Styela clava: one gene and its partner. The protein of the gene in region 1 purifies or fractionates together with the protein of each later gene. This does not show direct contact. Links are inferred from orthologs where the notes say so. Each region holds a gene or a part of one and is shown in the gene's direction. Other genes may lie near its edges.

Region 1 (7,700 bases):
CATCTCTGCCTGGTTTTACTTTGAAACGCTGAAAAAATTAATCATTTTCGGTAAACTCTATTCAGAAAATAAATAAACGGCATGTCTGCAGCTCGCGAAATTGCGGAAAGTACTTTTATTGCCATTAGACGTAACATTAGAGGCAAACATTACGTAATGAAAAGTAAACGTCATAGAATGGTAAAATGAATGAATTGATTCATTTACACAGCATTTAAACTAGGAAACAATAAAACAGTTATAATGAATGCAATATGTAAAATATTCAATCATATTTTAGGTAGGTTTAACACAATTCTGTTAGTTTTCGCGACGCATTCAGCAACTCCGCTACATTACACTGGTTTTCTCTATCAATTTACTGTTTCATTTTTTGGTGTTCCGCGAGGTGAGATCAAAATTGTAAGTGTTCCATGGCTGAAAAAGTTTGGGAAACGCTGACGTAGACAATTGTGTTCGCAACATCTTTCGCAGTGGTTTAATAAATATTTACGGAAAACACAATACGACTGGATAATACCACATTTCACAGTATCAATATACAACATCTATCATCAGATTTGATTGAAGCATTGGATGACTTGTCAAGTTATCGCGGGTTGAAGATCGCATTTGATGGCCGGAGTTATCAGCTGCTGCAATGAATGTTCTGTTGCCATTCGTTCGGAACTACTGGATTTTGAATTATTCGGAATTATGTGAAAAGACCTTTTCTGCGTTTTCATACATAAAAAACAAATACAGATCAAGGCTACAAGTAGAAGAAGATCTTCGAGTTGCTGTCTCCCAAATTAAACGTCGAATTTCTATGTTGTGTTCAAAACACAAAGCTAATAATTCGCGTTAGTCATAATAAACGCTATTATTCACGATTTTATGTGATAATTTTGTACAAGAAAATTGCTAGTGTCAATAATAGACTTAAAATCGATAACTATTTACATGTTTACCAAATGCTTGGGTCGCGAGAAATTATAAAAAAAAAAATGGGTCGCGCTGAAAAGTAGTTGCGGACTCCTGGACTACACCGCCATGCGATACGATGTTATAAAAAATCATCATCAAATATCCATTAAATACCATATTTTAAATTATAAAGATACTTTATAGACACCCTGTATACTAATTGAAGTCAATTGATGGGTATTTTTTTGATAAAAGTTTTAATTTTCCCCATGACATTTTCATTGAAGGCCTATATATATATGTTCTTGTTAATTTTTTTCAGATTCAATTTAACTTTGGTATAGCATGCTTCGTCTGTCGCTTCAGTAACGTTATCGGCTAATTTTTTTTTTTATATCTCATACAGCATCCTTCAATATATTTTGTGAATTTCAAACCGCCTCTAAATTTAGCAAATGTGTCTTTTATCCCACTTTTCACTTACAATTCTAGAAACAATGAGTAGCACAATCATTTTTAGATGCCATGTTGATATCACATAATAATAATATCAATTTATAAACGACCTTTTTGCATTAATGAAAATATGAACAGCAGTATTTAAAAAAGCTATACAATGATTAAAATTCAGTTTAGGGAATTAATGAAACGATGACCAACTTGACTAACAATAAGAATCGTAACCAAACAAATCTTCAATGGAATTCATTATGATCAATACCTCTTTCAGTGCGCGAGCGATCTTGATTAACAAGAAAGTAATGCTCAAATATATAGACACGAAACTTCCTTCGGTATCGGTACTGTGAACCGTTATAGCAAAGAGTTTGTTGAAAATATCGGTGGACGTGCGAGACACCAAAATTTTGTGTGAAATATTGGGGATCATAGGATTGGGAGGAAATTTTAAAAATGGAAGTAATACCTTCCCAGGAAATTTTTTCATCTTAAAGTAATGAGTTTTTTTAATCAAATGGTCGATTAGTTCCGGAGGGAAATATTTTCACTAGCAACTAAATAATCACCCAATAACAACATAAATGAGTTAACCATAACCATTAGGCAAAGCGATCATTTTCCTTCCCAATTACAGCAAAATCCACCAGTCCCATAATTACTTCAATAAAGCTGCATATGTGAGTAGGCTACAATCAATGACATGATTTTCCGATTTCACATGTGGTTTATTTCTTACTCAGTCAAAACATGTTAGTTGTTGATTGCAACCCAACCCCAACCAGAACTCCGAGGAATTGAATGACGTTGATACGCACAATTTTGTGGAGAAACGTACCGTACCGAGGGTACCGTGTCTTCACAAGTCCTGAACCGTGTGGCCTTCTCGACAGTCCTTTTCAGCGATAGGGAAAGTTCGGTTCTTTGTTTTTGAGGTAGGATAGGATAGGATTTACATATTTATCCCGGGGGAGAGGAAAGCCTAAGAGGGCGTATCCATATGGCGAAACACGGCCTCTCGTCCGGTTACCATTCCAAGTCGGGTATGGGATTAGTTTTACTGTATTGTTTGTTTTCGGAAGCATGGACTTGGTGGTGGAGGAAGCCGTAACCGACCAGCGGTTACGTGAACCACCCAACGACGGCGAGGAGTCCAGCAATCCTCTCGCACATAACCATCCCTGCATGGGATTCGAACCTGCGAACCCACGCAGAGTAATTAGAGGTGCGGTGGCGAGCGTATTCCTAACGCTTAGCCCGTTGAGCCACACCGCCGCGCCAGGTAATAGGTTTGGGTCTGGTATAGTTTAGTACCACATATACTTCTAGTTGGCCTGGCTCAACAATTTTTGTATATGTCAATCCTAACCCCCACCTGACTATGTCACCGAAAAATTACGTCATTTGGACGTCACAGTGGCGTAATAAAACCCACCGAAGTATGCGGATGGTCGTCCAAAACGCGCAGACGATCACCCGAAATCGAGCAAGCTATTTCTCTCGTTTTTTTGTCACAACGATCACCATAGGAGAGAGATCGTCGGCGTTAGCGAGTTTGTTATCGGCGGCGCGGATACCATTTCGGGCGATTGTAATTATACTTTGGCAAGCCATATGACGTGATGGTGACGTCGTAGTGACGTAATTTTTAGATGGCATAGTCAGGTGGGGGTTAGGAATAACATATGCAAAATTCGGTATGCTACACCCACTGGAGGTACCTACTTGTGGTACTAAACTATACTAGACCCATAAGTTTTACCAGTTTCCGGGTTCTTTGTAGGATGCGATTTCGGATCTCGCGTAGTTTCGTACCTAACGTACTTCTAGTGGGCGAAGCATAACAATTTTTTGATATGTCAATCCTAACCCCCATTTGATTACGCCATCCAAAAATTAAATCACTACGACATCACAATCACGTAGTTTCGTACCTAACATACTTCTAGTGCGCGTAGCATGACAATTTTTTCACGTATCAATCCTAACCCCCACCCGACTACATCATCCAAAAATGACGTCAACACGACGTCACAGTGACGTGATAGAGCCCTTCAAACTATACGAACTACCATCCAAGAGGCGCAAACGAGTGCCCGAAATCGAACAGTTATTTCTCTCGTTTTCTCGTCACAACGATTACAATAGGAGAGAGATCGATAACGTCAGTCAGTACTTTATCGTCGGCGCCAATGCCATTTCGGGCGATTGTACGTATATTTGGCAAGCTCTATGACGTGATTGTGATGTCGTAGTGACGTAATTTTTTGGTGGCGTAGTCAGATGGGGGTTATGGTTGACATATCAAAAAATGGTTATGCTACGCCCACTAGAAGTACGTTAGGTACGAAACTACACGAGACCCCCTGACTACACCATCCGAAATTTGGATGGAACGAATTTTGGGTTCTGGTACCGGTATAATTTAGTAAGAATTAGTAAATATATATATCTTTTTTCAATACAGTTTGGTAGGCTACCTAATACCTGAATACAGTACGGCAGGAGTCGGCAAACTACGGCCCGGAGCAATATAATCCAGCCCGCAGCGCTTCACTGAATTATATTAACAAAACAGCTGTATTGATGAATATATTCTTTATGTCAGTGACAGAATTTGTTTTGAAACACTGAATTATATTATAACCTAACAAGAATATAATTCACAATCACTCGTTTAATGAGCCTACAATTGATTATAATTAGACAAATGGCAACACAACGTAAAAAAATTAATGCTGATTGCTGAGTGCAAATGGTTTAATGACGCAGAAAATATTCAAATGATCATTCTTCACCCACTGCTTGTACTTTAACTGAGATTTGTGTGAAAAAATGAGATTCATTGGCCATTCCTTTGGTTTTTAACTTTCTAAAAATATGTGCGTCTCGCAACCTTTAATTTTGGCCCACGAACGACAATTGTTTGTCCGTATTGTACAATAATATATTTCTGTGGTTTGCAAGTTCTGAAGTTTGTGAGTGTTGATTTTATCGCCTTGATAGTTGAGTCCAATTAAATTTATATGCTTATTGAATTGTGGCATAGTTAGGATAGGATAGGATAGGATTTACATATTTATCCCGGGGGAGAGGAAAGCCGATAAGACAGCTTATCCATATGGCGAACCACGGCCTCTCGTCCGGTTACCATTCCATGTCGGGTATGGGATGAGTTAGTTATTTTATTTTTTCGGAAGCATGGACTTGAAGGTGGAGGAAGCCGTAACCGTTTACTGGTTCAACTACACAATTGTGACGTTTAGCTGTTCATTCCTATATCCAGGATTTTATGAATTTAATTGATGCAAATTTATTTTGATGATGTACTTTTCTTTTTGCCTTTGTTAGTTTTCTAGGTCACTATTAATATAGTTGTTTAATATATACAGATTTATAAAGTTTATAAAAAAAAAATACGAGAGTAATGGGAGAACCGCAGGCGGGTGAGCCAACATGGTGGAAAGCCCTAGAAAATCTGGAAATTGAACATGAAAAAATTGAAGATAATGAACTCATGTCAACTTGGAATGGTTCATCCCAAGGAGACGGTGTTCCCAAATATGGATGGAGAATCGCCCTCAGTCATAAATTTAGAGAAAAACGTACTCCATGGACTGTACCAAAAATACACCAGGTTCCAGCATTGGTGGGACTCTCTTACCGTTATATCAAATTTCATCGTAAATTAAAGCGTATTAACCGTCGTCCATGCATGGATTTCTTCAACCAACAACCACTGCGACAAATTTATGGTGTCCCTCTTGGAGGAATCGGGGGCGGGTCAATCAACCGTGGCTGGCAGGGTGAATTCTGTCGATGGCAGTTACGTCCGGGGGTTTATGAGTTTGTAACTACATTGGCAAATCAATTTATTGTTTGTATTCGTAAAAATGGAACCACTGTATATCAACAAGTTTTAAGTGTTCACAGTACCCCAGCGAAACATCTAAAAAGTTGGAAATGGGAGTTTCCTGGTTCCCAAGCTTTTTATCATGCTTTGTATCCGCGTGCGTGGACCGTATATGAAATTCCAGAACATAAAGTTGTATTAACCTGTAGACAAGTATCTCCTGTAATTCCCAATGAATATAAGGACTCGAGTATTCCTGCCGCTGTTTTTTCATGGAGTATTGAAAATAAATCTGAAAGTGATTTAGAAGTATCCATTGTTATGACAATGGAAAATGGTAATGGCACAAAAAAATCAAGACTACATCATTCTGGACATTTTAATGAAGAATTTGATGATGATAAAAAATGCAGTGGTGTAGTTATGCATAACTTTACATATGAGAAAATGCCGTACACAATGACAGTTGCGGCATCTGATAAGCCAGAAATGAAAGTTTCAAAATGCATTTCTTTTGACCCAACTTCAGATGGATCCACAATTTGGAATGAATTGCATGAACATGGCCACTTTGATTCTACAAATGACATAAGTGAAAATACTTCTCGTGGAGAATCTATTGCCTGTGCAGTTGCTGTTGAAACCACTGTAAAATCAAAAACTCTTCAAAAAAATGTTGATTTTGTTTTATCCTGGGATATGCCAATAGTATATTTTGGTTCAAAGGAAATTTCTCACCGCCGTCGATATACTCGTTTCTTTGGTGCATCTGGTAACGCTGGACCCAAAATTGCGTTGTATGCCCTTCAAAACTATCAAGATTGGGAAGAAAAAATACGATCATGGCAAGAACCAATTCTGTCAAATTCCCGCTTACCACTGTGGTACAAATCTGCCATATTCAACGAGTTGTATTACATCAGTGATGGAGGGACAATTTGGCTTGAAATAGATAAAACTGATACAGAATCAATTAGCATTTCAAATCATATAAATAAGCACAATGCATCAAAAGAAACAGATGTGGATCATCTCCAAAACAGTGAAATTTTAAAAGAATTTGGAAGATTTGCGTATCTTGAAGGCCAAGAATATAGGATGTTCAATACATATGACGTTCATTTTTATGCATCGATAGCTCTTGCTGCATTATGGCCCAAGCTTGAGCTAAGCTTACAGTATGATATTGCTACAAGTATTCTAAGGGCTGATGATACACGATTTCGTTTTATAATGGATGGTCATAGAAAACCTGTTAAAACGACAGGAGTGGTTCCACATGATGTTGGGGATCCTGAAGATGAACCTTGGACGAGAGTTAATGCGTATTTTGTTCACGATACAGCATCTTGGAAAGATTTAAATCCTAAGTTTGTTTTGCAAGTTTTTCGAGATTACCACATCACAAAAAATCGTAAATTTCTTGAGGACATGTGGCCAGTTTGTTTGACAGTTATGGAAATGAGCATGAAACATGATAAAGACGGAGATGGTCTTATTGAAAATGGTGGAACCGCAGATCAAACTTTTGATGGTTGGAGTGTCACTGGTCCAAGTGCGTATTGCGGTGGTTTATGGATTGCCGCATTGCGATGTACCATCGAGGCAGCAAATATCTTGGACCGACAAGAAGATAGTTTAAAATACAAGGAAATTTTAGAAAGAGCCACCAAGGCTTACGACAAAAAGTTATGGAATGGTGAATATTTTAATTATGATAGCAATAAACACAGCAATCATAGTGACAGCATTATGGCTGACCAATGTGCAGGTCAGTGGTATTTACTTGCTGCGGGAATAGCTGATGTCATACCAGGAGATAAAATTCTTAGCTGCTTGAGAAAAGTTTATAACTTTAATGTGGAATTGTTTGCTGATGGAAGACGGGGCGCAGTAAACGGAATGAGACCAAACGGGAAAGTTGATCAATCGAGCGTTCAGTCAGATGAAGTTTGGACTGGGGTAACATATGCTGTTGCGGCAACGATGCTTCATAAGGGAATGTTGAAAGAAGGTTTCAAAACGGCCCAAGGAATGTATAAAAGTGTTTGGGAAGAGACTGGTATGGCATTTCAAACACCAGAAGCGATTTTGAAACACAATCATTACCGATCTCTAGCGTACATGCGCCCATTAAGTATATGGGGCATGCAATATGCACTGGAAAACACAGACAATGATGACATTGCTTCAGAATAAGCTTTAATTATTTTGGCAAAGGTTTTTAAACTAAAAAAAATTTACTGTTATTTATAATGTCATTACTTTTTGTAGTATAACCTTTTCATTTGATTCTTCATTATTTGAAGGTCAGTTTCTTTGGTCAGTGATCAGCATTTTTTTCCTTCTTTCGCTTGTCCAATGACTATAATTATGGCATTGTTATTTCTACCTTTTTCCAATATGAAAGTAACACTTAGTGAATTACACATTCCAATGAATTATGAATGTCTTTTTCATGTGATAGTGAAGCATTTTTTGCAAA
Region 2 (7,912 bases), on another chromosome or scaffold:
AAATAATTAGTGAACGCAATAGGCAGTTCATTATTCTGATGCTGATGCATAAATTTTAGTACTTCAATTTTATAGATATCTGCCATTTTAATTATTTGCATTTTATGATAATGGGAGTCTAATTTTGATCGAGGTCCGGCATTAGTAAGTGCACGAATTGCCCTGTTTTGCATTATTTCAATGCGATGTAATAAAGTTTTGTTAGCTGATCCCCAAGCTACGATGCCATATTGAATATGGGACTGACACAAGGCGTAATAAACTAAGCGTAATGTTGACATTGAAGCATACCGTCTAAGTCTATAAAGCATCCCTATAGACTTGGATAATTTAACAACAATGTTGGATATTTGAATATCCCATTGCATTTTACTGTCAAGGTGGATGCCTAAATATTTGTAAGAATTGACATTCTCAAGAACAGTGCCCCCAATTTCAAGTTTTAAAGTAACCTTGGTTTTTCGTTTCATTGATGATATTAGCATGGTCTTTGATTTGTCAACATTAAGAGTTAGTTTGTTAAGTTTCATCCAATTAGCTACTTTATTTATTTCAGTGTTTACTCTCGATTGAAGAATATCAGAAGACTTGTCACTATCAAGAAGATTTGTGTCGTCAGCGAAGAGTTTGGAAAAAAGTGTGGTGCTTCGAGAAAGGTCATTGATGAAGATAAGAAACAAAGTCGGTCCTAAGCAAGATCCCTGTGGGACGCCGTGGGTCACAGGTAACGCCGGAGAACAATATTTACCCATTTGAACATATTGAGATCTATTCGTCAGGTAACTATCGAGGAGTTTATTTGCCACTCCTCGAATACCATAGTGCCATAGCTTGTGGATTAAAATTTTATGATTAACGGTATCAAAAGCTTTTTTGAGATCTAAGAATGTTGCGCTAACATATTCCTTCTTTTCCAGTTTATCATAGATATGGGATATTGTATCTAAAATTGCATGCGAAGTCGAATGTTTAATTTGAAAACCAAATTGAGATTTATTTATTACCTCATGCTTTATAAAGAAGTTCATTAGCCTTTTATGGATTAAACGCTCAAATATTTTATCAATAGAAGATAGAATGGATATAGGTCTATAGTTTGACAACTGTTTTTTATTGCCAGATTTAAAGATCGGAACCACTCTGGCTATCTTCAGTGAAGATGGGAATATACCAAATTGAAGGGAATTATTGAAAAACTCTGTTAGACATGGAGATATGATGTCCACAGCATACTTGAGGAAATGACAGGGAATGTTGTCTACCCCCACTGCCTTACCCGCCTTAAGACTCAAAATTTCAGTCGCCAATTCGATTACTGTAGCTGGACTCAGAAATATGGATTGATTTATTCGTTTGCCAAGATACATTTTAAAACCGACCATATCATTAGAGAATTTACCAGAGAGGCTGGACCCAACAGTTGAAAAGTACTTGTTGAATTCTTGTACTATGAAATGACTATCCCTAATGATGCAGCCGTTATCAAGATGAATTTCATCAACATTATGCCTCAATTTATTCTTTCTGGAGGTAATCTGATTAACGATTCGCCATGTAAACTTTGGGTTGCCTTTGTTTTGAGCGATCAGGTTTTGATAATACAATTGCTTTGCATTGTCAATTGTATGAGTCAGTAAGTTACGATACTTTTTAAAAAATGAGCATTGAGAACTATTGCCCTTCAGGTAGTGGGTTTTGAACATCTTACGCCTGTAGCGAATACTAATAAGTATTCCTTTGGAAATCCATGGCTTGGGTTTTATTTTTTTTTCACGACGCGACAACGGTCTAAATGGCGCATGGCGGTGGATTAGAGCAGCAAAAGAATTTGTGAATTCTTCAAATAATGTGTCAAAATTTTGAGAATTCAAGTCCAACGCAGCAAAGTGATTATTAATTAGGTCGTGTGTATCTGACCGAAATGCATCAATGGAAAATGCAGACATATCCCTTATCATGACAAGCTCATTGTTGGTTGATGGTTTGATGCCATTAACACAGCATATTAAAGGAAAGTGATCAGTGATGTTGGATAATATAACATAAGGATCTAATTTTAGGTGAGTCATGTTGGTCTATATATGATCTATGAGTGTCCTTGAGGTTCTGGTAACCCTTGTAGGCTTTGTAATAAGAGAAATAGTGTTGTGAGCAACAAGCATATTAATATAATTGGTGATTTGGGGACAAGGTCTTGTTGCAAGTAGATTTATGTTGAGATCTCCCACAATTATAAAATGTTTTTTTGTCAATTTGGTGAGGCAGTTTTCTAATATGTTTGTGAAAGCAGGAATATCGTTTCTTGGTTGTTTATATATAATGCCAATGGTCAACCTTTTGGATATGTTTTCCAAGTCTATATCGAGCCAAATATCCTCACAGTTAATATAATTTAAATGATATTCAGTAGACTTTGTAAATTTGATATCATTTCTGATGAAAGCACCCACTCCGCCTGCCTTGGAGGCAGACGGTGTGTGTACGAATCTATAACCGTCGATGCTTATATTATCAAAATTATTACTATTTAATTTGGTTTCGCTCACTGCCATTATATGGGGGGAGGGAGATAAATTAGACAATAACGTAGTTAGTTGATCAATATTTTTTCTAATTGACCGAATATTAGTGTGGATAATTGTCAAGCCCGAATTAGTTTGGATATCTTTCAGATCAGTTACTTCAATGTTGCTGCAATCACAACCACTATTTGAATTTAGGTATTTTAAACTATTAGAACCATTATCACTATAATCTAACAAATAATCACAATGATTCGGCATTTACGTATATGGAAATATAAGAAATGGAACCAGAATGAATGATTAATAAGAATATCAATTAATAAGAAATAACTATAATACAATGACCTACTTTATAGAGAGCAGGTCGTCTTCAGTGATGATAGGGATGGTAGCCGTATTAGAATTTTTTTTTATGAGAACTTTTACATTGTTGGTCCACAGGAATTTATAACCGCACTCTTGTTTCAGTTCCCTGGCTTTGTAGAACAAATCTTTGTTTGTGTCTGTGAGGTTTTCTACAACGAATACTTCGATGGTTCTGGGAAAGTTCGAAAATATTGTAGAGATGTCGAGAGATGTCAGTTTACGACGATTCATTAGTATTCGGTTTCTCGTTTTTCTGTTGACAAACTTGGCAATAATTGGAGATGGTCTTTTTTTATTGTTTTTCGACATTCTGTGGCAATTCGATACATCAATGGATTGCAAAGGAACTTCAATTTTCTTACAAATTTTAGAAATTAGGTTTTCACAGTCTTCCCCGTTAGTGTAGGGTATGTTATGAAATTCCAAATTGTCCAACCTGGAGCGACGCTCTTGATCTTGCTGCCTTTCTGTGAGTATGTCAACTTTCTCCTCTAGTTCTTCCACAAGTTGTTCCAGCTCCGCTACTCTTTTTTTAGTTTTCGTTGCTATCTTATTGAGCTCGTCTTGGTTCGATCTGAGCTCATCAAATTTTTTTGACACAAAATCCTGACTCTTTTTGATTTCGTGTATCTCGTTCTTGATCTCACGGAAAGATGATAATTCTTATTTGATCTCATTCATAGACTCCGTCAGTGATGTTATTGACTCCTCCAAATTCAAGGTATTGGTGGTGTCCTGGGTCACATTGAAGCTAGATTTATCGAGATGTTGCTCAATGATGGCAGGAATCTCAAGACGAAAGGTTTTCAAAACTGTACCTTCCAGTACAGATACCAGATTAGTGATGTCATCAACTTCAATTGTTGAAGTCATTTTAGCAGTTGAACGCATCTGTCGGTCGGTTGGACTTTTGCGCTTTGGTGGTACAGGAGGAACACTAGACTTGTTTGGCGTGTTCATCTCTTCGTTCACCCACTGCACAATTATTAATACTATTCACAAATTGTAGAGGTTACATCCATAAACCAGTTGCGTTATCTATATTATATTTCTATTTATTCAACTATCATCTTAATCAAAACAGCAATAATGTATCAAAACAGCAATAATGAATCAAAACAGCAATAATAGACGGCGAGAGAAAGAAAAGTTAAAACGAGAAGAAGAGGGTGATCGAAGGACAGAAAGAGAGAAAAAACGCAAGTTTGAGCTTGAAAAAATTGAGTTGGAGAACCAGCGTCAGCTTGATAAGCAAAAGGAAGACAATCGCCACAAAAAAGCAAAACTACAAATAGCAATGAAAATGCAGAGTGACACATGGCAAGCACACGTAAACCAGTGGTAGGTACTCCATAAATGTTGTGATTCTTCCTGTCACAAGTATTTCGATCCAAAAAATGAATCTTGAATATTAATAAAAACGTATTTATTTTGTGCCTGTCCCTAACTAAATGTTTGCATATATTTTAGCTTGGAGAGTGGACTCACAGCCAACGAAGACCTAGAAAAATCTAGTTATCTTCTTGTAGTTAGGAACGATTTCCCTGTGAGTGTTTTACAATACCCTAAATTAAGCACTATTTTATTTTATATATTAGGTGGGGCGGGGCCAGTACCCCCTCCTACCCCACCCCGCAAGAGGTGTCCCCCCTCTTTTACATTTCAAACTCTCACGACGCACTAACCCTCGAGCCCACCGGATTTTTCTTAAATTTACACTAGGTATCAAATCTCGCAAATTGGCTCATTCATGGCTAAAACCTGTTTCTTTCAAGATGCTCTGATCCTAAAACGTAGGTTAACCTAGAATAGGATAGGATTTACATATTCATCCTCCATGACAAGAAAGCCGATAAGACAACTTAATCATATGGCAAACCACGGTCTTTCGTCCGGTTACCAGTCCATGTAAGATATGGGATTAGTTAGTGTTAGCCAGTTAATTGTTTTCGGAAGCATGGACTTGATGGTGGAGGAATCCGTAACCAAAGCGTATATTTAATACGGCCGTAAGCCCGTAACCGACCCGCGGTTACCTTGCGGTGACGAGCGTATTCCCAACGCTTAGCACGATGCGCCTGGCCGAGTGACCTTTTTCTCCATGCGATACGATCTGGAAATGCTCAATTATGTTGAAGCAAAGAACGAAAGTCAAAAGTAAGTAAAACCTTGCGAATTTGTCGGCTCTAGTAGTCGGATCTGGAATATGTTTTGACTCCGTGTGGCAGTGCAATTCTTTGATCAAGTTTTCTCTGCTTTCAGCTGTGTTTCTTTGGCGCAAAAAGGCTTTGGAAAACATATAACGTTACATCTATCTCACAGACTGGGAACATCGGAATTGAACATTTGAACATGGCTGACACTCTGGAATGGATATTTCAGGAGCTATTAGTACAAAATGTTGTCTTATTTTTGGTCGGTGCAATATTATTTGGTGCGTCATTGTTTGTACAGAAATTCGGTCTTGTTTATCAATTTTTTCACAAGGTAAGTAATCAGTAGTTTATTTTCTCACCATAAATGAAATACAGAATGTAAAAAGAATCAAAAAAAAGTTGATGTAAGGCAAATATCACTATCAGAGAGGTTACGGTAGGTATAGGATACAAGAGACTTCAGGCAGTCAGGACTTAGAGGTGAGATTTGGCCCAAAAATTCCAGCCCGATCCAGGCCCGTGGGTATGGTATTAAACCAGACTAATAAACTGGATTTGCAGGCCCGAGCCCGGAGCAAACCCGAAATTTTATTCAGGAGTTCATTGAATTGTCATTGCAAGAGTTTAGTACCTACGGTACCTACTGCAGTAGTCTATGTCAGTACCGGTACGGTATGTGTCGTGTTGATGAGGCAACAGAATTCTGGGTCCAGGGGTCAGCTCGGGCTTCAGATCTTAGCTCTAACGAGACTAACTCCCAATCTTTCCTCACTGCCTTTGTGCTAGTGGATCCATATTCCTGTATTCATATAATGGAATAATGCTGTAGCAGGAATAAAATATTACACTATGCAATTCAAGAGTCTCTGCCGAACACTGACTTGGTAACACTAATGTATTGCTGTATCGCTCCATCTGACTAAAATCATTCCTCTGACAAGCAGTTTACAACAATGACAAGAACAGAACAATCATGCATAGTACAATAGTATGGTATTTTATTCCTGCTGCAGAATTATTATATGAGAAGTATTTTCAAATTGAAATAGATAGCATTATGAAAATATGGAGCTAGCTATTGCTATCTATATTTCGGAAGAATACATCCATCACAATTACGGCTCCTTTTTCAGAATTAAAAATCTAAGCCAAGTTCAGTGGTAACTGGGTTTTTACTCGATTTTATACCACTTAGTTGATTTCTGTTTTGTATCTATTCTGATTTGCGTTTGTTTTTGACGCTTGAAATTTGTCTCTAATACTGAATAATGAAGAACCACTGCTCTACAGTTTTCGCATCTTTTTTCTCCCACAATCAGTATGAAAATTGTGTCTAAATATAAAAATCTCTAATTACAACCACGGTTAAATTGTTATTCATGTTCTTTGTTCATTTTGCCTTTCAAAGTATTTCAATATGTTTACAGGTGGAAAAGGAATCCAAGCGGCACGGTGGGGAACTTGTAGCCCAGGTTTTGAAAGATCATGGAACGCAATTCCTTTTTACACTCGTGGGAGGTCACATCTCACCCATTCTAGTAGCTGCGGAGAAATTGGGAATTAGAGTCGTCGATACGAGACATGAAGTAACAACCGTGTTTGCAGCAGATGCTGTTGCCAGATTATCAGGTTCTGATTAAATTATAAGATAAGATTAAATTTTGTGATTGCATGATTGTGATTGAATTTTTAATATACCGGTAGTTCAAATGGTTGCAATTCCAAACCTTTTGCGTTGCAAGGAATATACCAGAGTAAAATTTATTATGCTCTTACACCTAGCTTTTGTGATGCGAACAATGTGATTGACAAAGCTGTCACTTGCTGAGCGGCGAGCAATTTAGGGAAAGTTAATGAAGAAAGACGCTAATGAATAAGTAAAAATGGTAGTTTTCTTCAGAAATTTATGCGTCTCGATTTATCATTTTTCCAAGGACCCCTTATAACGTCACAAGATTAATATCAAAAAGAAACTATTTTTTCGTGCCTACATTTCTGCAACTACTAGAAAGTTTATGTTGAATAAAGGTGCAGCTCACAGTTTCGCTCAGTTATTTGTATCTATCCCTCCTGTATCCAACCCCCCCCCCCCCCGGTCTAGAATTCTGCTTTTGTGAATAACTTCGAAAAATACCACTCCATTGCTACACTAAGTGGATTCATGGCTGTCGCCATCGTCTTTGCTATTTTTTAACTTTTAGCTAAAATTGCAAATGTAATTTAATTATGTTGTTATGTATTATCTTTTTCTTCAATTTATCAAGGCCGCATTGGTGTAGCTGCAGTAACTGCTGGACCGGGCCTCACTAACACTGTGACCGCTGTCAAGAATGCACAAATGGCTGAATCTCCGATTCTCCTTATTGGAGGTGCAGCACCTACATTGCTCAAAGGTAACTAGACTTATGATATTTCTCAATGTACAGGGTATCCATAATGAAGTCAGTAGACTACTCATTATATCTTTAATTCCCTTTTATAAAATTTTAAGATTTATGAACACAAATAATTTGCACATTCATTAATGGATTTTGTACTTATAATGAGGGGATGTATATTATGACTTGATTTAGAAAATGTTCGATTCAATTAAAAAAAATCTTCTTAGTTTCAATAATTTTGAATAATTTTGTTTTTAAACAGGCCGAGGAGCTCTTCAAGATATTGATCAAATGAGTTTGTTCAAACCACTTTGCAAGTTTTGTGCTCGAGTCACACGGATCCGAGATATCGTACCAACTGTGAGGCAGGCGATAGCTTGTGCTCAGTCTGGAACTCCTGGTATGTGTATATTGTTAATAATTAATTAATAAAGTAAAGTATTTTCATGAGAAATTAATAAGCAATGCCATCATCTATAGTAAT

The links.
Region 2: the proteins of non-lysosomal glucosylceramidase-like (region 1) and 2-hydroxyacyl-CoA lyase 2-like purify together in Homo sapiens (co-immunoprecipitation; 3 studies listed by BioGRID and IntAct, counting the BioPlex papers as one, with this or other methods). This does not show direct contact. The link is inferred for Styela clava from reciprocal best matches to the Homo sapiens genes GBA2 and HACL2.

The regions. Positions count from the first base shown.
Region 1 is NC_135262.1:10,354,491-10,362,190, reverse strand, and holds the start of non-lysosomal glucosylceramidase-like, read left to right. Parts: upstream 1-4,697; 5' UTR 4,698-4,789; coding exon 4,790-7,414; 3' UTR 7,415-7,700. UniProt on the Homo sapiens protein: Non-lysosomal glucosylceramidase that catalyzes the hydrolysis of glucosylceramides/GlcCers (such as beta-D-glucosyl-(1<->1')-N-acylsphing-4-enine) to free glucose and ceramides (such as N-acylsphing-4-enine).
Region 2 is NC_135258.1:4,954,001-4,961,912, reverse strand, and holds the start of 2-hydroxyacyl-CoA lyase 2-like, read left to right. Parts: upstream 1-4,902; 5' UTR 4,903-5,048; intron 5,049-5,153; 5' UTR 5,154-5,243; coding exon 5,244-5,378; intron 5,379-6,474; coding exon 6,475-6,676; intron 6,677-7,311; coding exon 7,312-7,440; intron 7,441-7,690; coding exon 7,691-7,828; intron 7,829-7,912. UniProt on the Homo sapiens protein: Endoplasmic reticulum 2-OH acyl-CoA lyase involved in the cleavage (C1 removal) reaction in the fatty acid alpha-oxydation in a thiamine pyrophosphate (TPP)-dependent manner. Involved in the phytosphingosine degradation pathway.